2 linked regions of the Astyanax mexicanus genome follow. The protein of the gene in region 1 purifies or fractionates together with the protein of each later gene. This does not show direct contact. Links are inferred from orthologs where the notes say so. Each region holds a gene or a part of one and is shown on either strand. Other genes may lie near its edges.

Evidence for each region. The genes of interacting proteins can lie anywhere in the genome.
Region 2: the proteins of polr2f (region 1) and DNA-directed RNA polymerase III subunit RPC9 purify together in Homo sapiens (affinity purification with mass spectrometry; 5 studies listed by BioGRID and IntAct, with this or other methods). This does not show direct contact. The link is inferred for Astyanax mexicanus from reciprocal best matches to the Homo sapiens genes POLR2F and CRCP.

Annotation. Positions count from the first base shown.
Region 1 is NC_064410.1:9,736,025-9,746,891, forward strand, and holds the start of polr2f (DNA-directed RNA polymerases I, II, and III subunit RPABC2), read right to left. Parts: upstream 7,333-10,867; 5' UTR 7,179-7,332; coding exon 7,159-7,178; intron 4,184-7,158; coding exon 4,114-4,183; intron 1,146-4,113; coding exon 1,015-1,145; intron 1-1,014. UniProt on the Homo sapiens protein: DNA-dependent RNA polymerase catalyzes the transcription of DNA into RNA using the four ribonucleoside triphosphates as substrates.
Region 2 is NC_064424.1:10,203,973-10,214,839, forward strand, and holds DNA-directed RNA polymerase III subunit RPC9, read left to right. Parts: upstream 1-3,213; 5' UTR 3,214-3,216; coding exon 3,217-3,284; intron 3,285-4,746; coding exon 4,747-4,783; intron 4,784-4,993; coding exon 4,994-5,092; intron 5,093-5,567; coding exon 5,568-5,662; intron 5,663-6,069; coding exon 6,070-6,127; intron 6,128-6,291; coding exon 6,292-6,435; 3' UTR 6,436-6,862; downstream 6,863-10,867. Other genes in the region: asl (argininosuccinate lyase), read right to left, coding at 64-258, 427-441. UniProt on the Homo sapiens protein: DNA-dependent RNA polymerase catalyzes the transcription of DNA into RNA using the four ribonucleoside triphosphates as substrates.

The DNA.
Region 1 (10,867 bases):
AGCAAAGACCGACTGGAGAGTATTGTTGAGTCAGATAGGTTTGTGTTTTAATTGACACAGCGCTGCTACTACACTGTATGCACGCCTTTCTCTACTGCATTTTCTCTCTCCCACTTTCTCACTTGCTGCAAGTCCCACCCATACTGAAACCTCATTGGCATGAGAAAAGGCTTTGCATTTTGGATTTGCAACTATTTCACGTGCACGTTCTCTCTTTCACACTCAATTAATGCTAGTCTCACACTAGTTGATGTTGTAGATTACGTCAACTAATCGTTGCAGCCCTAGTCAAAGGATGGTTTTGGTTAGGGCTGGGTATCGAAATTCGATACCAAAAATCCTTTTTCTTGAGACAGAAATTTCTTGGTACTACTGACCAAGCATAGAGAGTGCATTAACACCAACCATGGAGAGCGCATGCAGCGTGCTCAAAACAACCCTTATACGCTTTGTTGCAACGTAAAAATTAACATTATCAAAAATGTGGTATAAAACTGATTTAAAGACGATGTGATTTAATAAACTAGCATTATTCTGTGTTTAATTGAAACTGAATATTTATATTATTGCGGTAAATCTCAAAAAAAGGATTTGTATGCTGGTATTTTTTTGTGAGGAAGACAAAAATAATAGGTGTTGTGTAATTTAAGCCATTTTTACTTTATGACAATATCTTTAATGCTTTTTCATTTGAATATTTTAATGTACTGAGCTTCACCATCAAACAGAAGCACCTGTGTGTATGGGGTGGTGGGAATTAAATGTAAAGATTTAATTTATATTTCAGCATAAATAAATAGTCTTTACTTTCTTAACTTGATTGTAGCATACCTGAATAAATCATTTAATGTGTCTTCAGGCTGTAAACGAATGAATAACAGGAAACCGGCACCAAATTTGGCAAAATGATTATTTCATGTATTAAAAAAAAAAAAAAAAAAAAAAAAAAAAAAAAAAACATATTCAGAGTGTGTGTGTGTGTGTGTGTGTGTGTGTGTGTGTGTGAGAACTCACGCGATCTGCAGTGCTCTGGTACCCAGTACTCTGGCTCTCTCATATTTGGTCATGTAGGGGGTGGTGATTCTCTTCTGATTGGCCTGCTGACCCTCTCCAGCAGGGAGAATCTGCACGTTCTCCTGATCCTCCTACACACACACATTTTTTTTTTCTCAATAATGTTTTTAATACATAAAAAAAGCAACAACAGCCCAAAAAAAAAAAAAAAAAAAAAGTACCACTGTTTCTTTCAATTTTAAATATTTAAAACAGGCAGACAATATCTGGAGACAACATTAACGAATCATTGTATTAATAACTTTAAAAGACAATAATAGTATATGATAAATACCAAAACAAGTATCATTAACTGAACGATTACTGACATTTAGTCATCTTTAATTATTCATTTTTTCTTACACTGGCTTATTTATGCAGATAATACTTTCTAAGAATTCTTAATTAATACTCAGTTTTTTACATTACAATATAACGCAATACTAAACTTAATATGCCTGTTGCAGTTTTTTTTGTGTGTTTTTGGTTTTGATTTGGATCAACTGCTGTAAAAAAGATGTGAAATCCAGAGAGTGACTAGAGTTTTTGACTGAATGGAAAAAGGTCAAAATTTAAGAAAAGTCAGAATATCTCTGACTTTTCGCCAAAATGCAGAAAAGCGGGATGGAGAAGGGTTTTCCGAATATATTATTATGTATTAAGCTTATATGCTTACACTAAATGTTTCACTTACTACTCTATACCCTGCGCAAGTGCCCAGCTTGTATACAAGTATGGCGACTCTCTTGTCAGTTTGCACAGGTGGATGATTAGAAAGGAAAGGTCCTACAGATGGTCTAATCATAATGCAGAGCTTTTTAAATTATGTTTTTGTCAGAAATGCTGAATCCAAACCTGCTCTAAAAAATAAACTACATTCCCCTAAAATAGTGTGCTTTGTTTGCACTCCCAGATATAATACTTTAGCCCTGATTAAATGTGCCACTGCTTGTCCTGCACGGCATCTTTAAAATGCAAACTTCACTGCCATAAAGGGATTGCAAATGGACATGAAAATCTCTCCATTTTGCTTGTTTAGAACCCACTCCCAGTCACGGCAGCCTACCTAATCTAAAGTTTATACCTGCAGTGAATGAAAACACAGTTTATTTCTTTTAAAACCTGGCTACTGTGGGTAAGATCTATTACTCAGACTCAATAAATTAAGGGTTAATAATGGAAATTGGCTTAGCTTTGGGCTGTGTATAAATTTGCAATACCGATACCAGTATGGTACCTTAAACTTGATACAAATACCCAAACGGTACTTTTTAGGTATACCACAGTAGTTATTTATTTTATTGCATGACTTGGCATTAATATAGGTTTCTGAGTTACTGTACTGTTAGTAGTACATATAATATAAAATTAAGGCTTTGATTAGTATTGGGTTTACTTTATCGCACAAGAAATCAGACTCATTATCAGAAAAACAGCTGAAGAACATAAATAGACCTTAAAAATATACGCCAACAACTTTGACACAACTTCCTTTACAAAATATTTTAAATAGTTCCATAAACACTATAAATGGACCTAAAATACTCTATGTTTAAAAACTACTATGTTTAAGTATTCAAAGAGATATTTCTCAAAAGCTCTATTGCACAAGTAAGACACAAGTTTTATATAAATTTACTATATGTTACTCCCGAAGCCAATAGAGGCATTATAGTATTTAAATCTGCCACAATTCCTCTTTCTCCATTTAAAAAATCTATTCAAATAATTCAAGCTACAGTATAAATATATTTAAAAGGGCTGTAGTTACTGCTCTATTTTACTGGGATAAAAACACTCATACAGTAGAAACAGAAGCAGCCAACATGAGTAATCTCATCCTCATCTTGTGTGCGTCACGGCGCCATAATGGTTGTTTTTACCGCGCTGTGTGAGCTCTCTCGCGTTTGGTGCGTTTCATGCGAAATATTGAAAACCAGCACCCAAATTTCTTTAGACATTTCGTCACTCGTAGTACCAAGACATTTCAACCGGTAACCATTGCTATCGATTTTTATACCCGGCCCTATCCACCTTATTAAACACAATTATGGCTCTAACTGGGTCAGTGTTCAGTATTGATGATTAACAATGAAATGACTTAGAAATCATATTTGCATTTTTGGTAGTACAAAGAGTTTATCAACAGATTTCATTTGCTATGTATATCACCATGTTTCTTTTATTACAATTTTACACTTTTCCTTAACTAAGAAGGTTTTGCATGGTTCCATTTTTAAAAGATATGTTTGTATGCTGATTTTAATACTAATACTGCTATTAAGTTTTATTGTGTTTGTATACTATTGAAAACATATAGCCCTAAATTGTGCTGTTTATGTATATTCTGCCACATCTTCAAAAAAAAAAACAAAAAAACCCTGAATCAACTTTTTTAATTTCAGTAAATTTTAAGAATGTATAACGTAATTGTAATAAATAATCTCTCATACATTTGAATGTAAACCATATAAACCACAGCAATACCACTGAGCCACATACTACCATATCAGAATATATGCATGTAAGCAAATTATTTAAGAGTGTGTATTAAAAGTTATGTTTATTCTTTTTCCCCCAATCTGCACCAAATGACAATCATGAGATGTTTCACACAACCCTAAAGACTAGGCCTGTCATGATATCTATTTTTATTGGGTTATTTAATTTTGTTGTCCAAAAAATAAACAAATGACAAAATTGTTATTATTTGACCAGTTTATGCTATTGATATGATAGCATAATAATACAATTGCAATGTTTTAGCAATTATTTAGACTACAATTATTAGGGAATGGTGAGACATGAGATTTGGTAAATACATTTTAAATAATATAAATAAAATGTGAAAAAAATATTTGTGGAAACGTGGACCTATCAGCCGATTTATGTTTATGGGCTATTCCTGCTAAGAAAAGCATAATTAGAAACGTTGAGGTGAACAAATTAATTAATTAATTAATTGGGATAAGAAGACTAGAGCAAAATCTGCAGTGTCTGCAACTCTAGTCATCTAATAAAGATGAACCTGAATCAGATCTGAGAGATCAAAACACTTACATCTTCCACATTCTCCAGATCATCCAGTCCCTCGTCTTCCTCAACATCATCAAAATCTCCATCATCAAAGCTGAAACGGACAGAAGAGGATCAGATTAAAGCAGCAACACTCAGAAAGCACCGATTATACAGGAATCAGACTGACAGCACATTTAACACACATCCCCCAGACAGAGAGTTTAAACACTCATTAATACACTGCCTGGCAAAAACACTGACATTAATACACTGGCAAAAAAAAATCACCACGTGGATTTAATTAAAAAAATAGGTAAGAGCCTTCAATTGGATAATTACTGCATAAGTGATTAAGTTTGATGCAGTGAGTAGCTCCTAATTTGTAAAAACATCCATGTGGAAAGACTCATCCTTTGGTCATAGAAAATATGTTGTTGTTGTTTTTTTTTTTGTTTTTTTTTTTTAGAAAAGTCTAATTATTGGCATGCATTAAGCAAAGAAAACATCTTAGGAGATGGGAATCGGGTTATCGCATTATTAAAAACTTGAAGGACAGAGGGGAACATCATCTTCCTGGAAGGAAGAAAAAAGAAAAAAAATCTTGAATGAACATGATCTGCAATCATTTAAACACTTGGTGAAATCAAATGGTAGAAAAAACTAGAACTCAGTGACATTGTTAATAGTGAAAGTAAGAGCATTTCCACATGCACAACTCAAATTTGAGGGAGAATAAAGATTGGACTCAATGGAGCAATGGAAGAAGGTCATGTGCTCAGATGAGTCCAGATTTACCCTGTTCCAGAGTGATGGGCGCATGAGGGTAAGAAGAGTGAAGGCTGTACCCATGCACCAATCATGCCTAATGTCTACCGCATTTTGCACTATAAGGTGCACTTAAAATCCTTTAACTTTCCCAAAAATCATCAGTACACCTTATAATTCACTGCTCACGATCAATAACTGTCTATTTTTTGTCTATTTTAATAAATAAGGCTCGCCGGATTATAAGCCACATTATGCAACACTATTAAGGAACAGGGGTGTCTCTTTATGTTAATCTACACAGATTTCTCTTCTGAAAATTGTTTATTTGGGTGAGTAAAGAGCTTTTGTTTATTTACTGTAAGCTTAGATTTTCTGATTTCCACTAAGGTTGGGTGCAGCAATATTAACATTAGCAGCTAATCACTAGCACTAGCCATGGTTAGCACCTAACACCGCCCGCCAGCACTACATTAAGGAACCCTGAGTGTTCCAGTAAGCCAGGCTGATATTAGCTAGCGATTCATCCCACATAGCTTGTTTTAACACGGTAAACACGCAGACTACAGTCTGATATATTCACCTCTAAACAGAAAAAAGAAGGCTAGTGCTTAACGCAGTTAGCACATAATGCTAATGCTGCTCCAGCAGTGCTAGTCGGGGTAAGCAGCAGGCTACAGGCCGATAATACTCACCTCTGAATGGCGAAAAAAATATCGCTTAGTGGGTAATGCTAATACTGCTGGAGAACTAAACTGAATCTCCTGTATAACTCTGTACTTCAGCAGAGTGACTTGAAGGATGAAATGATTTTAAGTGCACCTAAAAGGGCAAAAATACAGTACTATACAAGCCTGTGGTGCAGTGATATGACCTGGGGTTGCTGCAGTAGGTCAGGTCTAGGTTCAGCAACATTATTGCTGAAAACACTACTGAGCTGACTGAAATATAACACACTATTTAGGTTATTATCAAAATACTTTGCATTATGGATTCTCATAACCTTTAAAATTACATAAGATTAAAAGATTACACCGAAATCATATTTTCCAGCTTAATCACTTTATACTTGCTGTCCTGCATGCGTCCACCCGGTTATGGCAAACTGCATGACTGGATGGACCATTTTATTGAAAACTGGCATTTGATAGTAACATGTTTGATATAGAGTTGCAGACATGTTGAATTATTCATGATGACCTTTTCTGCTTTAAATATACATCCTGATTTTACAATATGACTTTAATTACCATAATATTTTAATATATTGTTTGTCATTAGCATTTTCTTAAAATAGGTGTAAAACGTACTTTAATATATCAAAAAAGAAATGAAGTTTTACTTAGTTTTCGAATTTTATAGTGTTTTTTTTTCACATTTCATAATTTTTTTTCACAATTTCCATATTTCATTGTTTTGTGCAATTTAGATTATAAGACTGAAAAAAACCCCTGAAAATCTAACCTTTATCAGTTCAATTTTCTAACCTCTTAAGGTTAAACTCTGGTTGATTGTAGTAAAAAAAAAAAAAAAAAAAAAAAAAAAAAAAACTGGGTGTAAAACAGAGAGACAAAAATACTACTACTACTACTACTACTACTACTACTAACAACAACAACATTACAAATGAGTCAATACTTTATATATATATATATATATATATATATATATATATATATATATAATTATATAATATATTATATATATAAAATTATGACTATTTCTATTAGTAGTTGTCTCTGATATAAACTCTGGCTAAACTTGGTTATCAGTGGTTTATTAATAACGTTATTGATATTAGTAGTAGTAGTAGTGGTATTGCTTCTAATATAACCTGGTAAACTCGGTTATTTAATCAGTGGGTTATTAATAATGTTATTTATATTAGTAACTTAGTAGTAGTAGTGGTATTGCTTCTAATATAACCTGGTAAACTCGGTTATTTAATCAGTGGGTTATTAATAATGTTATTTATATTAGTAGTAGTAGTGGTATTGCTTCTAATATAACCTGGTAAACTCGGTTATTTAATCAGTGGGTTATTAATAATGTTATTTATATTAGAAATAATAGTAGTATGGTGGTAACATGGTGATATAAACTGGGTAAACTCGGTTATGTAATCAGTGGGTTATTATTAATGTTATTTATATTAGAAATAGTAGCAGTAGTGGTATTGTTTCAGATATAAACTGGGTAAACTCGGTTATTTAATCAGTGGGTTATTAATAATGTTATTTATTTTAGTAGGAGTACCGTAAGTATTGTCTCTGATATAAAGTCTGGGTAAACTCGGGTTGTTTAGCGATTATAAACACTTACTTGTCCTCGTTGTCAGACATCCTGGATTGAGTGAGGATCTACTGGTTAAACTAGAGGCTTATTTAGAAGTAAATTACAGTAAAATAACCTATTTATTCTATCAGTAATTAAAGCCACACCGCAACCTGCACCCCGCGCTGCTTCAGCGGTGTTCTCCTGTAAACTGTCCGGGTAGAAACACGGAGCGCACACCGAAAATGACCTGTGGCGGGGAGAGGGAGAGGGAGGGAGAGGGAGGGAGGGGGAGGGAGAGGGAGGGAGAGGCGTTGTTTATACCGCTAAATAAAACTTCTCAATGTGACAATTAATGCGGTAAAGTTTCCAGATTCACGGTATCATCACGTTATCACAGAAATAAACGCAAACAGAATCAGATTTTGCAAATTGCATAGACTCATATTTTGTTCTGAAGCTCATTTTAGTCATAATTATGATTTTTTGGAAAAAAAACATGGGTCCCACACTAAGTCATAATTATGAGATAATTGAGATAATATCTTATAACTATGACTTGCTATGCCATAATTATGATTTATTATCTGATAATTATGACTCAATATTTCAGAATGATGACTTAGCATCTTATAATTATTACTTTATTATTTCATAATTCTGGGAGAAGAATGTTTTCCCAGTCTTGTCTGATAAAGGATTGTAGCCAATCAAAAGAGTGCCATGCACTACTGCAATGCGAGTGCCATGCACTAATGCAACAGAGATGCAGGCTTTTAAACTGTGCGCAGTATGAGAAAATAAACACACACATGACACAATTAAATGTTTAATGTTTTGTTTTTTTTGTTTTTTGCACTGCCATCATAATGTTTATCACAAGCCGCCACTTTAAACGAGTTATTGTTTTTATCTGTAATTGTAACATTCCAGCACATCCTGTGATTTCCGTGCTCTATTGAGAATAAAACATATTTAATCTATTAGATTTAAATTCTAATAATAATTACACAGCACAGCAGCATCAGTAGATCTCTTTGCCAGTGCGGAGAATGAGCCTTTGCATAAATGCTCTAGCCATGAGACCTGCTTTAGGCTTTTCTCTCTGACAGAACTGAAGGACAGTATATAGACACACCTAGCTGGATCCAGAGCTGGTTAAACTGGATCAGGTGTGTTAGAATAGAATAAAATCTGCTTATTTAACTCCTGAATTTAACACTTAAAATGAAAAATGTCTAAACAGCAAGGAGGAACAGAACACAATACTGTAATAATATTGATTCATAATATTTTTTCTCTCACTGGTCACGTTGCAATTGCAATTGAACTGCTAAAAAAATACGTTTGTTTTTTGCTAATATAATTAAAAATGTTAGACAGCTCTTTTGGGGTTAAACATGAGAATGTTTAGAAATTATTAAATTATTAATTTATCTACTATGAAAAATGTATCAAAGAAGAAGAACAAATTCTAGACATTTTCCAAGGAGCTGAGTGGAACACTGTTTACTAGATTGTCCAGAAGGTGTCGTTGTTGCATAAGGCATTCCTCAGAATCTATATCCAGGGCCAGTTTAAATTATCCTCAGTTACAACACACCACATCTTCAGTTAATTATTAAACCCTTTAAGATCTGGATCAGGTTTGGTGTGTTCAGGGCATAGCTGTGTGTGGTAAGCACCTTGTGAGCATTGGAATGTAAAAGCACTGATATTCTGGTATATATTTGATAGAAATCTGAAAGTGATTCTACAACACATTTATATCATAAAACAAGTAAAGAGATCTGCCCAGTTTCTACAGTAACAGAATATTTAAGAATTTCACTAGTCTGGATTTGTTAGATTTCAGTACAGCTGAAGATTTGTGTAATATGTGTGAATTGTGGCTTCTTATTATGACTCTTTAGCATGAACTGAACTCACAATAAAGACAATAATTTCCAATAAAACACCCAGTGTCATTAAAAAAGAAACAGAAAGTAATAGGAGAGTTTGTTGTTTAGAGCAGCAGATAGCAGAGTTCAAAGTGTGGCTTTTCAGAGTGTAGTAAATGTGTTGGATTGTACTCTGGTTAAGTGATAAAACTGTATTTTACTACTCTATCCCACAATCTTACTACCGAACAATCTCTGTGAACGCATCTCAGTATTGGTGTAATATCTATTATCAGTGTCCTTTAAAGCAGTGATCATTTCATTTATGCTTTTATAAAGTTGGTGTATAATTATTGTTTGAGCCTGTTCTTGAAGAGCTATATTTTAAGCTCTGAAAGTACTTTAAAATGAACACATTATTACATAGAAACATATTACATAGACAAATATTATATTTACTTTATACTGTCCAGTTAACACCATAACTTTGGTGGTGGACTATTTGTAATAATGTTATATGAGAGATAAACCTTAAAGACATACTGGCCTTCTGCTCACATAGCAATGGTAGAAAGAAACCTGTATGACTGAATTCTGCAGATTATGTGGAAGTCAGCTTTTAGACTGTGGAGAGTAGTGTAATGATCAAATTAAACCTGGAATGGTAGGAATTGGCTGAAATACAATAATTAAAAAACATAATAAATAGAAAAAAACATAATAAACAGAAACAGAAAATGATAATTTGTGAATAATAAAGGAATACAGAAAATAGGAAGAGAAATAAAATAGAGATTTAACAAATGGAAAAAATTGTTAAATCTCTTTGTTTTTTTTTAGGGACAGTTTGGAAGTCAGAGGCAGCTCACAGGGCTTAGAGTTAGAGAGGTATTCCATTTTTTTTTCAAATAACAACCATAAATTGTATGTATTTTATTGAGATTTAAGTGATAGACCAACAAAACGTAGCACATAATTGTGAAGTGGAACAAAAATGATACATGGTTTCCAAAATTTTAATCATAAAAATCTAAAAAATATGTCATGCAAAAGTATTTAACCCCCTTAATTCTGAACCCTCTAAATAAAAACCAATGCAATTAATTGACACTTAATTAGGTAATAGAGTCCAGCTGTGTGTTATTTACAGCTGTTCTGTATCATGGTTTAATAGAGATCTCTCTAGTGATTAACAGTGACATAACATATACAGCTCTGGTCATGCAGGAGATGTGTTTTGGTCTCATGGTTCCTGACTCCCAGTCGCTGACCGTAAGAACAGCACCGAAAAACAGAGGTTTAGTATCTTAAATCCATTTTGTGTCAAGCAGACCACTAATATCAGTTTTTCTGCTTAAACTGTCAGAAACAAGTGGGGCTTGTTGTTACAGCCCAACACTGTGCAGGGATATCCATCAATGGTAGGTAGCATCACAGACTGTCTAGGAGTTGACTGATGCTTTAATACAGATCAGGAGCACGCCCAGGCGTTGTAGGAAGGTCATACAGGACCTGGTGTTCGCTTTATTTATTTGTGAAAAAGTGGCGCTGCGTTTCCACTACATTCCGCTGTGGGGCGCTGATGAGCTGCGTATTTAAAGTGAAAGTAAAAAATAATCAGTCCGACATTTTGTTGTTTATGAGATGCAGGTATAACAGGTGACACAAAATGGCTTTAAGATACTAAACCTCTGTTTTCCGGTGCTGTTCTTACGGAGGTCCGGTGCAGCGTTAGAATAGGACAACTGTTTGAGCAGCGTTTATAAAGAGGTAAGAGTCTACACCCACCCACAACTAACCCTAAATTCTTACAGCTCTGTTTTTGATCCGGGAAAAGGTTTTTGTTGTTGCTGAAAAAGGTTAACCAAACCTGCACA
Region 2 (10,867 bases), on another chromosome or scaffold:
GTTTTATCCTCGTGTTGGATCACAGTCACAGAGACTTGAGCTTGAAGTTTACAGGTATCTAACCTTGTCAAGGCCTGAAAGAATCTGCTGCAATTCCTCCGGAGTGACCAGTCCAGCTTTCTGCAGAGCTTTCACATAAGCTTTACTCCCCCGAATGTCTGCATCCCACATGCGCTGATCGTAAGCGATGGACGCGTTGAATTTCTCCATTATTGGATCAGTGTTTCCAACGAACCTGCCGCCCCACAGCTTGTTTCCCTGCTCGGCAGGAACACATGACAGTTAGCTAGGAGGACTTACATTAAATTTAGGTTAGCTTTAAGCTAGCTTGTGGCTAACAGCTGCCTAAATATATCAAGATAAGTAAACAGATCAGCTCTGAAAAACAGAGATAAGTATTGTAATTCAGATTATAAGAGCTCTTACCTCTGATCCTGCCATGCTCCCTCCTCTCCAGTCCAGCTATCTCCTCTCTCTCTCTCTCTGTAGGAGCTACTGAGAGCTAGGTTAGTAAACTTGGCTAGACTGCTGCTGCTGTGTTTTGGCTGCCTATAAAGAAAAGCCTCATGAACTCAGTTAGCTATTGTGTTTACCTGGAACGTGTTCTGTGGTTTGGACACGCAGCAGGTGCTCTGCCCAAAGGAAGGCAAATAATCAGATTAATTAACAGTTACAGGATCATTAACGTGGAAATGCAGGTTCACAAACCAGTGTCAGTCAGTTGATGCAACAGCTGCCACAGCCTGCTGGTTTACAAATATCCAACATATCCCTCCCCTAAAAAACACTTCTCCCCATAATATATCCCTCCTCCTCTCAAACACACTCCTCCCCTCACAAACACTCCACCCCATATTATATCCCTCCTCCTCTCAAACACACTCCCATCTCTGACACTTGGAAAAAATTAAGTCATGATTATGAGATAGATAGAGTCTAAGGGGAATTATCTTTATAATTATGACTTACCATACCTACTGCATAACACAATATGTGTAAATAATATTACAAATACATTATTATTATTATTATTATTATTATTATAAGGAGTAGTAGTAGAAGTAGGAGTGGTAGTAGTGCTTGTGGTATTGTTGTTATTCGTAGTAGTAGTGGTAGTAGTAGTAGTAGATAAACAATAAACATTATTTTTAATTATTTTTATTAATATTTCTATATATTACACATTTTAAAAGTGTTAATAAAACACTTCATTAAAATATGTGTTTTAGAAAAGTAAGCCTACTGTATTACACATTATGTGTAAACTATATTACAACCCCTGGCAAAAAGTATGGAATCACCAGTCTTGGATGAGCACTCCTTCAGACATTTCATTCTGTAAAACAAACTCTGATCAAAAACATGATACAATAATAAGGTCATTCCAAAGTGCAACTTGTTGGCTTTCAGGAACACTCAAAGAAATGAAGAAAAAACATTGTGGAAGTCAGTGAATGTTACTTTTATTGACCAACCACAGGGAAAAAAATATGGAATCACTCAATTCTGAGGAAAAAAGTATGGAATCATGAAAAACAGATAAACAAAAGATGATTCAAAATACATCACTAGTATTTAGTTGCACCACCTTTGGCTTTTATAACGGCTTTCCGTCTCTGAGGCATGGACTTGATGACTGACAAACAGTATTCTGCATCAATTTGGTGCCAACTCTCTTTGATAGCAGTTGCCAGATCAGCTTTGCAGGTCGGAGCCTTCTTGTGGACCATTTTTTTCAATTTCCACCACAGGTTTTCAATTGGGTTGAGAGCTGGACTATTTGCAGGCCATGACATCGACTGAATGTGTCTTTCTCCAAGGAATGCCTTCACTGTTTTTGCCCTATGGCACGATGCATTGTCATCTTGGAAAATTATTTCATTATCTCCAAACATCTGTTCAATTGAAGGGATGAGAAAACTGTCCAAAATGTCAATGTAAACTTGTGCATTGATAGAAGAATTAACCACAGTCATCTCCCCAGTGCCTTTGCCTGACATGCAGCCCCATATCATCAAGGACTGTGGAAATTTGGTTGTTTTCTTCAGGCAGGCCTCTTCATAAATCTCACTGGAACGGCACCAAACAAAAGTTCCAGCATCATCACCTTGTCCAATGCAGATTCTTGACTCATCACTGAAGATAACTTTCATCCAGTCATCCACAGTCCATGATTGCCTCTCCTTAGCCCACTGCAGTCTTGTTCTTTTATGTTTAGGTGTGAATGATGGTTTTCTTTTAGCTTTCCTGTATTGAAATCCCATTTCCTTTAGGCGATTTCTTACGGTTCGGTCACATACATTGGCTCCAGCTTCTTCCCATTTATGCTTCATCTGTTTAGTTGTACTTTTTCGGTTTTCAAGACAAATGGCCTTAAGTTGCTTGTCTTGACGCTTTGATGTCTTTCTCGGTCTACCAGTACGCTTGGCTTTAACAACCATTCCATGCTGTTTGTATTTGGTCCATATCTTGGATACAGCTGACTGTGAACAGCCCACATCTTTAGCAACCATGCGTGAAGAGTTACCTTCTTCAAGAAGTTTCACAATCCTCTCTTTTGTTTCAAGAGACATTTCTCTTGTTGGAGCCATGGTTCTTGCCACTCTAATTCGTCCAGCAGCCCTCCAAGGTGTCATGACTGCAGGTGTTTTTAACTGCAGACTAACGAGCAGATCTAATCTGAGGCAGGTGTCCATTTAGGGAAAGGAAATTGACTGGGTGTGTCCTTATTTTCTACCTTCAATTTGAGTGATTCCATACTTTTTTCCTCAGAATTGAGTGATTCCATATTTTTTCCCTGTGGTTGGTCAATAAAAGTAACATTCACTGACTTCCACAATGTTTTTTCTTCATTTCTTTGAGTGTTCCTGAAAGCCAACAAGTTGCACTTTGGAATGACCTTATTACTCTATCATGTTTTTGATCAGAGTTTGTTTTACAGAATGAAATGTCTGAAGGAGTGCTCATCCAAGACTGGTGATTCCATACTTTTTGCCAGGGGTTGTATAAATTAATAATAATAATAATAATAATAATAATAATAATAATAATAATAATAATAATAATAATAATAATAATAATAATAATACTATGTTATTTGTAGTTGTAGATAAATAAATGACAAATATTATTAATTATATGTAATTATTTTTAAAATAAAAAAATATTTTTAACTAAACTGTGGCAGATATGTCGTTGACTTTGTTGTAGGAACGCATGCGTGGGGTACTGTTTCTACCCGACGGTTTACAGGCGCGGACCCTAACAGAGTGCACTATGGAAGTGTAAGAGTGTTTAAAATGTTTTTGTTTAGACATGAAAATTTAAATGAAATATATTATATGTCACTGTTTGTTTAACTGGTTACGAACATTAAAAATATATTACTATAATAGATATAGATAAACCGCTAATGTAAATATTAACCGGGTGTCTGGCTCGTGGCGCCGCTGGGAGGTCTAGGCAGTGCTGAGTGAGGTTAGGAGAAACATGAAGAGCTGCTGCTGGTTTATGGGCTTATTAATCTACAGTTACCCACATCTAACCTCGAGTCTTGGGGTAAACCAATATAAAATAGCTAGAAACACAAAATTATGTTAGGAAGACATCCATGCTAAACAACCGGATAAGCTACTAACAATACTCTTGGTGAAAACTTCTAGAATACTGTACTGTAAAAAAAAAATTGAAGTGTTATAATTGCATTTAATGTGATATGGCACACCCCTGACTAAGATATTAAAAAATACAATACTTTTTTATCAGATAACAGATCTGAAATGTCATGATACTAATAATGCACTGTTAATATCTCCATATATCCAGGACTAAAGTAAAATAAATGATACTGCACAGATATACTCTGTAAAAGCGAATTTTTGTTTTGCTAAAAACAACAGAACTTGATGTGATAATTAGGGAAGAGTGATGTGGCACGATATTTAAGGGTATAAAATTATCTACAATATTAGTATTTTCTCAGTGTCCTTAAGTTACCTGAAATAGTTTTCTTAGTGTCTTGAAGAAAGGAGTGCTGAACAATAGTTGCTGCTTTTTCTTCACGCTGTAAAGTTCCAGCTTTTGTTGGGTCCTTACATTGTTTCATGTGTTTAATATCAATCTACAATGTAGTAAATAAATAAAGAAAAAAATCTATGATGTGTGTTCAAACTGACTGGTACTGTATATATAAGTAACATTTTACAGTAAGAGTACAACTTTTTTTATCTAATTATTTACATAATTCCTATGCATTAAAGAATTTAAATGTACTAATGTTTAATAATATCTTATCTAGGGTCAATTAAACATGAGGCATTACTTAACCATTTAAGTGTTCATTACTGTTATCAGTAGTGTTTATTGTGACATATATGCATACAAATTGTGACCTAAAATACCATAAGCTTGTGTGGCCCTCATTTGCATTACATATGTTAGGTAACAAATGTCAATGCATGCGTCCACAAAACTAGTCTTTATTAATGCATTCTGCTGCAACTCCTGCTTTCACTTTCTAAATGTTGTGTTTAAATTTGCCACAAAGCTCTTTACCATAAGTAACCTTTATGATTGTGTAATCACTCTACTGATTTAGCTCTGGTTTAGTCCTGGGTTGTAAATAGAGATATTTGAATGAAATTTTAAGTGTTGATTCTTCTCAGCTGAACATCATTTTGAACAGCACAACTTCACCTACCATTGCTTAAATTGTTATTTAAACACTTATCCATGTCTGTGCTGCAGGAGGGATGCAAATGCTGCCATGCTCAGCAATTTTGAGGTCAGTAATTTTACTTATGTTTACGTCTATTAATCAAGTACACTATTAATAATTTTTATTTTATTAAGTAGTATTGATATGTCAAAAATGACTGAAAGACACATTGATGCTTTAACCATCCATGCACAGAAAAGGAAATATTGGTTAATTTCAGGCTTTTTAGTTTGCTGAGGGTTTGTAAATTTGTGTTTTGTGCTTTTACCCTGTTAGGTGTATCAGCTTCTCATTGAGCTGAAAGAGAAGAGAAAAGAGATGGTTAAAAACAAGCATAGCACTGGACAACAGAACCTTAACACAATAATGTATGAGGTTAGTGACCCGGCAGAGCATTCTTTCCATCAAGTTTTACATTGCGGTGCAATGATTTTTAAAATCTTTTGTTATGATATAGATTAATAAAAGGGCAACCACAAAGAGCCCAAGATAAATGAAACTTATTTTTTATATTTGTTGGTATTTATTATTATTAATCAAGGAGAACAGTAATACAATAATGGTGAATAGATTGTGTATAGTTTGACAATTATTAAGATTTATTTCTTTCATTTTACCCACCCCTATTTGTCTCTCTATTATTTGAGCAGTGTTAACAAATGGGATGACTGGGCTTTGTTGCTTACATACTTACTTAATTATGTTAAGTAGAATTCTGTACATTAACTGCAGCATTATACAACTGTTTAATTTTTTTATTTAATCATCATGCAGTGTAGAAAATATTTACATATTCCAGTCAGCCTTCATGTATATTTTTATTCTGTTGCTTGTCTTATTTCTCCTGCAGACTCTGAAGTACCTCTCTAAGACGCCATGTTCTCACCAGAGTCCTGAGAATGTAAAAGATTTCCTGACTGCAATGCTCCCACACAAACTCACCAAGTAAGAATAGTCATACTGGCAACTTTGGCCCATTTCTAATGCTGTTCAGTTTTTGGTTGACTTGATTTATTTTTGCTTTTGAAAATCCCCAGCAGCTTGTTCTAAACTTACACTTGACAGTTCATCTGCTATGTCACATGTGCTGTGGTGCACGTTCACTTTGTATCTCTAATTACAGAGTGTGGTTTGTCTGCCCTCTGCTGATCAACTATATAATTTTCACTTTGAGACACAGCACGGTGCACTTTATGACTTGTCATGTGGCGTAGCAGCCTGCAGTAAATTGTATATTGTGTCTTCTCTCTTTTGTCTTGTCACCGTTGTATGGATTATGTCACTGTTTGGGAAATGTTTAGTCAGATTTCCTTTTCATCCTTTTCTTACTTTTTGTCTTTGTGTCTTTTCAGGGCCGAGAAACTGCAGCTCTTGAACCACAGACCAAAAACGGCCGTGGAGATCCAGCTGGTCAGACTTTTCTTTTTTTCTTTCATTTTTTATGTCTGTTTCTAAGGTAGACTATTTCTAGTTGTTTGCTGCAGTGATTAAAGAATATTTAATGTATGAGTACCTTTGCATACATGTATACATGTGTATGACATGTTCTATATAAACTGTTCTTTTTTGCATAGATGGTAGAGGAGAGTGAAGAACGATTGTCTGAAGATCAGATAGAAGAGCTTATACAAAAGGTCACTGAAATCCTCCCTGGAGACCCTCAGCAAGAAGAAGGTGCTCCTGGAGATGCTGAGATGGATGCAAATGCAGACCAGTGATGAAATCTCAGGAAACCCTTCACCACAATCTATTTCCTGCTTGTTTTGAAGTCTGCATTTGTATGGTGGTTTATAAGGTCCTATAAGATGAGGAAATAACCCTTTAAGATTAGGAGCGAGGATGTTGTTTTGAACTGGGTGCATTTTGTTTCTCATTACATTAATGAGAGTTTGTGTTGCCAGTATTTATATGTATAAATATAATGAATGAAACATATGAGCAACTTAATTGTGGTGACCATGTAGTTTTATGTTAATTATTAGCATTTTTTTTGACTGAACTGATTTATTTTTGTGTAAATGGTGTGTCATTACATACTGTACATGAACTACCATTTAAATTGTAGTTCATGTACAGTGTGTATTGAAAGTTAGCTGGAAAACCTAATAATAACACCTGTTTTAAATAAAATATCATGAAATCCAACATTTTGTTTTTTTTTGTTTATGCAGAGCCACCTATTAATCCCCTTGCAGTTTAGTGCAGTCAAAGGATTGTTTTCTCAAAAAGGGTGTTGGTGGTTAGAAGCTGGAGCCAGGGTGTTTAAATGGGTCAGGGGAGAAAAAAGGATGTGTGCAATTTACAGCAGAGCAAATACATACTTCCTCTCTTTCGCTTCTCTGTTAAAACATAACATACAGGCTTTACTGAACAACAGATCACTACACACTGTTTAGTTGTCTTGAGCCAGTCTTACTTTGGTTTTACCTGTTAGCGATGGTGGATTGTAACAAAGTATGTGTAATTTGTTACTGTACTTAATTTTTTTTTTTTATCTTATATTGTGAAATATTATTTTCCATTACACTGCACACATTTTTAAAGTCTATATGTAATTTTTATTCCTCTTAATTTGTTTCTTTTGGCTTCTTTTGCATAAAAACAACCTGCCGAAACACAAGAATCAAATGAAAGAAACATGTTGTTGCACTTGATATTTGGGGCAGCGGTGGCTCAGTGGTTAGACCACCGGGCCATTGACTGCAAGGTTGTGCATTCAATACCTGTGTTTGACAGACCTTCACTTCACTCTGTGAACTGACATAGATACTGAACATCCTAAAAGCATCACAGGACAGTGTGTGATTGTCTGGAGATAAAACTAGCTAATTTTAATAGTGCAGCTTTAGCTCACAGGTCTTTTCCAAACATGTAACCATTCAAATGCTTAAAAAAAGAAAGAGTGGCCCAAAATGCCATTGTAACTAGTTCTGGTACAATTTCCAGAACAAAATGTTAAAATACTAATTATGAAATTGTGGTTATACTATTTATATCATGATTTTAAAATTAAATAGTTTTTCTTTTATCACAGTGAGACAGAAAAACATAAATTAACTGCTCAAGTAATTTAACATATTTGTGCTTTTGGATCCATAATCTGAATTGCGTCTGGCCTATTATGGGCTACATATATAGATGTGACATAATAATAAATATTCAGGTGTAAAACTAGGTTCAAAAACAGTTTTTGATAAACAAAATACAAACTAATGTGAAATGTTTTTTGTTTGCAAAAATGAAAAGGGTGTAAGGTATTAAACAGGGTATGGGTTTTGGGACACTACAATATATTGTATTACAACATAAATATTACAATATGCATGCTGTATTTCATACGAAAATATTTTGTGTATAATAAATTAAAAAAAAGTACAAAATATATCCTTTTTAATTTTTTTTTTGTTGAAAAAATAAAAAATAAATATATATACCTGGTCACCGTAACTTCAGGTCTTGATATTGACTACATTACATTCTGTTAAAAGACTAAATCTAATCTATTTGAATCTAATATATATCTGAATCTAATAATTTGATTAAGAAAGAGCCTTTTATTAAAGTTTTAATAGGAAATTAATGCCATAATAAAACATGGTATTACATATTTTAAAAGCTTAAAATTCATATTTGTATTTCATAGTTCAGCCAATGGTGTGCAGCAAGGTCCAGAGAGTAAAAATCCATTCCAGGATTTTGTTTCAACTGCATGGGTGACTCTGCAGACCAACTCTAACACCAGGAAGTTGGAACATAATCCTGGCATGGATTTAAATTTTCTGGACCTGAATTGCCAATCTCTAACAACCAATAAGATTGGAGTTTGCTGGAGGAGAGCTCCAGTGGCTGTGGTTTAGTGAGCTGTCTTGAAGTTCAGTCTTGCATTTTAGGTTGGACAGTCATCTGTGAGCAAAGCTTATTGGACAAAGTTCAGTAGAGACTTAGAAAAGAATAGAAAGCGTGTTTTGTAAATAACATCTCTGTTAAATAGCTACGTAAATGGGTTTAGCTCAATTTCGAGCTGCAGTCTAATGCTTCACTTACCTGGGTTCCTTCATGTCTGTTTTAACACTTCAGGTAAACTTAGCCTTAGTACTTTTAATTTTTTTTATTTAATTTAATTTTCACCACTGCGAGAATGACCGACTGGGAGCTGCTGTAGGTAAGTTAACGCTACCTAACCTAGCTAATAACTAAACCATGTTAATATCACGTTCTCCTTGTTTGAATACGAAATATAACGTTGGGATACCAAAAGAAATTCAGATTTAGGACTATCGACTGCCAGCCGGGTTCACACTACCTCCTGTAATCACAAGAACGTTAAAAATCTAACCTAGCTAATTTAGCTAGCTAACTAGCTAACGTTACTAACCACATTGTCGCGTGAACTAAACTAAGCTAAGCTAACTAATGCTATACAAGCAACAGCCTTTTCAACGTGTGTAGCCAAACATTTTGATGTTAGCCAGCTAGCTTAGATAGGTTAACTAGATGGTTACCTAGCCTGCTCGCGTTGTCAGTGGAGAAAGGCAAACATTGTCGTTTTTCATATCATATTATGGTGTGAGAGTTAGCTAGCTATCGTTTTCGTATGATTTATTTCGCGATATATTTCATGAGCGCTTAACATACTGTTCTGTGTGTGGTAGTTAGCTAGCTAATCATTTCCATTGTCGACTAGCTAAACTGCGCTGCCAGACCTCTGCTGCAGCTGTGCTGTTAGGTTACCTGTCTTTTCTGAATGCCTCTTACAGACCAAAAAGTGTGTCTTTTATTGACCAAACATGTGTAAACATGTTTACCGTTTAGGCTTGAAATCGTGTGATTGTAAAGCCTCCCGCAGTTAAATACCAAGGTCTAGATCTGAGTAATTTGTTGACCTGTTGCTCAAATAAAGACGATAAGATCTGCACAGCTGCAGTGTTTGACTATGCAGTCTGAGCTGCACTAATGGATAAAAATGGATTAGGCCCATTCAGCTACTGTTTACATTACACTACAAACCAAACAGCTGATCCCTTTAGATTGGATTTACAGCTTAATAATTTGTGGTGCTTCTAAGAAAATTATCAGCAAGGAGTTCCCAAGGTGAAAGCCTATTTGCAGGGGAAAAATATAAAAATAAATAAGCTTTTTACTTAAAGAAGCAATCTTTATGATTTCTTTTTTTAAATTGAAAGCAGTAATATGCCTGAGTTGAGATTTGTCAAAATAATATAATACATTATTTCAAAGGGCTTCATTCTTGAGGTGGGGGGTTTAATCCAATTATTTTTTAAAGTGAAATACAAGGACCATATGTGTGCATTGTGTTTAATAGAAAAGCTGTATGTTCATGTTTCATCTGGACCATGGGTGCAACATGGATCAAAACAGTACAATACAGGCTACATAACACTTAAACAGGCCTCTGCCTTTTTTGGATGTCGTTGTCTTAGACATTATTTATAAGGCAATGTATTAGGTCATTTTTTTGATAATTGTACATTGAGATTGTAGTAACCTAAATTATTTAGACATTACTTTTAGTGTGCATTAAACCTAATAATAACAGTATTTCTGTATAAAAATTGAAGTATTGTTTACTGAAGAGTATGCAGATAGACACAGGAAGAACATCAAAAAGAGGTGTTTGTGGGTCAGTGAGAGATGTTTGTTAGTGTGTGAGGTGTGTAGGAGTTCAGTTTAGTCCTTGTTGAGTTTGTTGAGAAGTCTAATGGCATAGGTCAGCTAAGCACATTCCTGGTTCTGGGGATTGATTATTTCAGATCTATTACACGTAAGTCTGAAATGTTCCCCTGTCCCTAAAGGCCTACATTACCTGCACCATGTGTGAGAGATTAGGGAAGAGGGGCTAAATTCTGGTAGGTCTCCAGGACCAGGAATCCCTAGTCTGTCTAGGGAAAGAAGCTGTTGCAATGTCTGGCACTGGGCTCAGATGCTCCAGTATCTTTTTCAATTCTTCAGTTTTAGAAATATTTCCTCTAAGAAGCCAAAGATATTCAAAAAGTCGTATTTTAGTGTATGCAGGAATAGAAATGAACTGCCTTGTAAATTTCTGTTTTAGTTGATTTGCTTTGTTCTACAGGGTCAAAAGTCACAGGACATTCTCTTTTATTTCAGAAATTAAATCTGACGGCTTTTAAA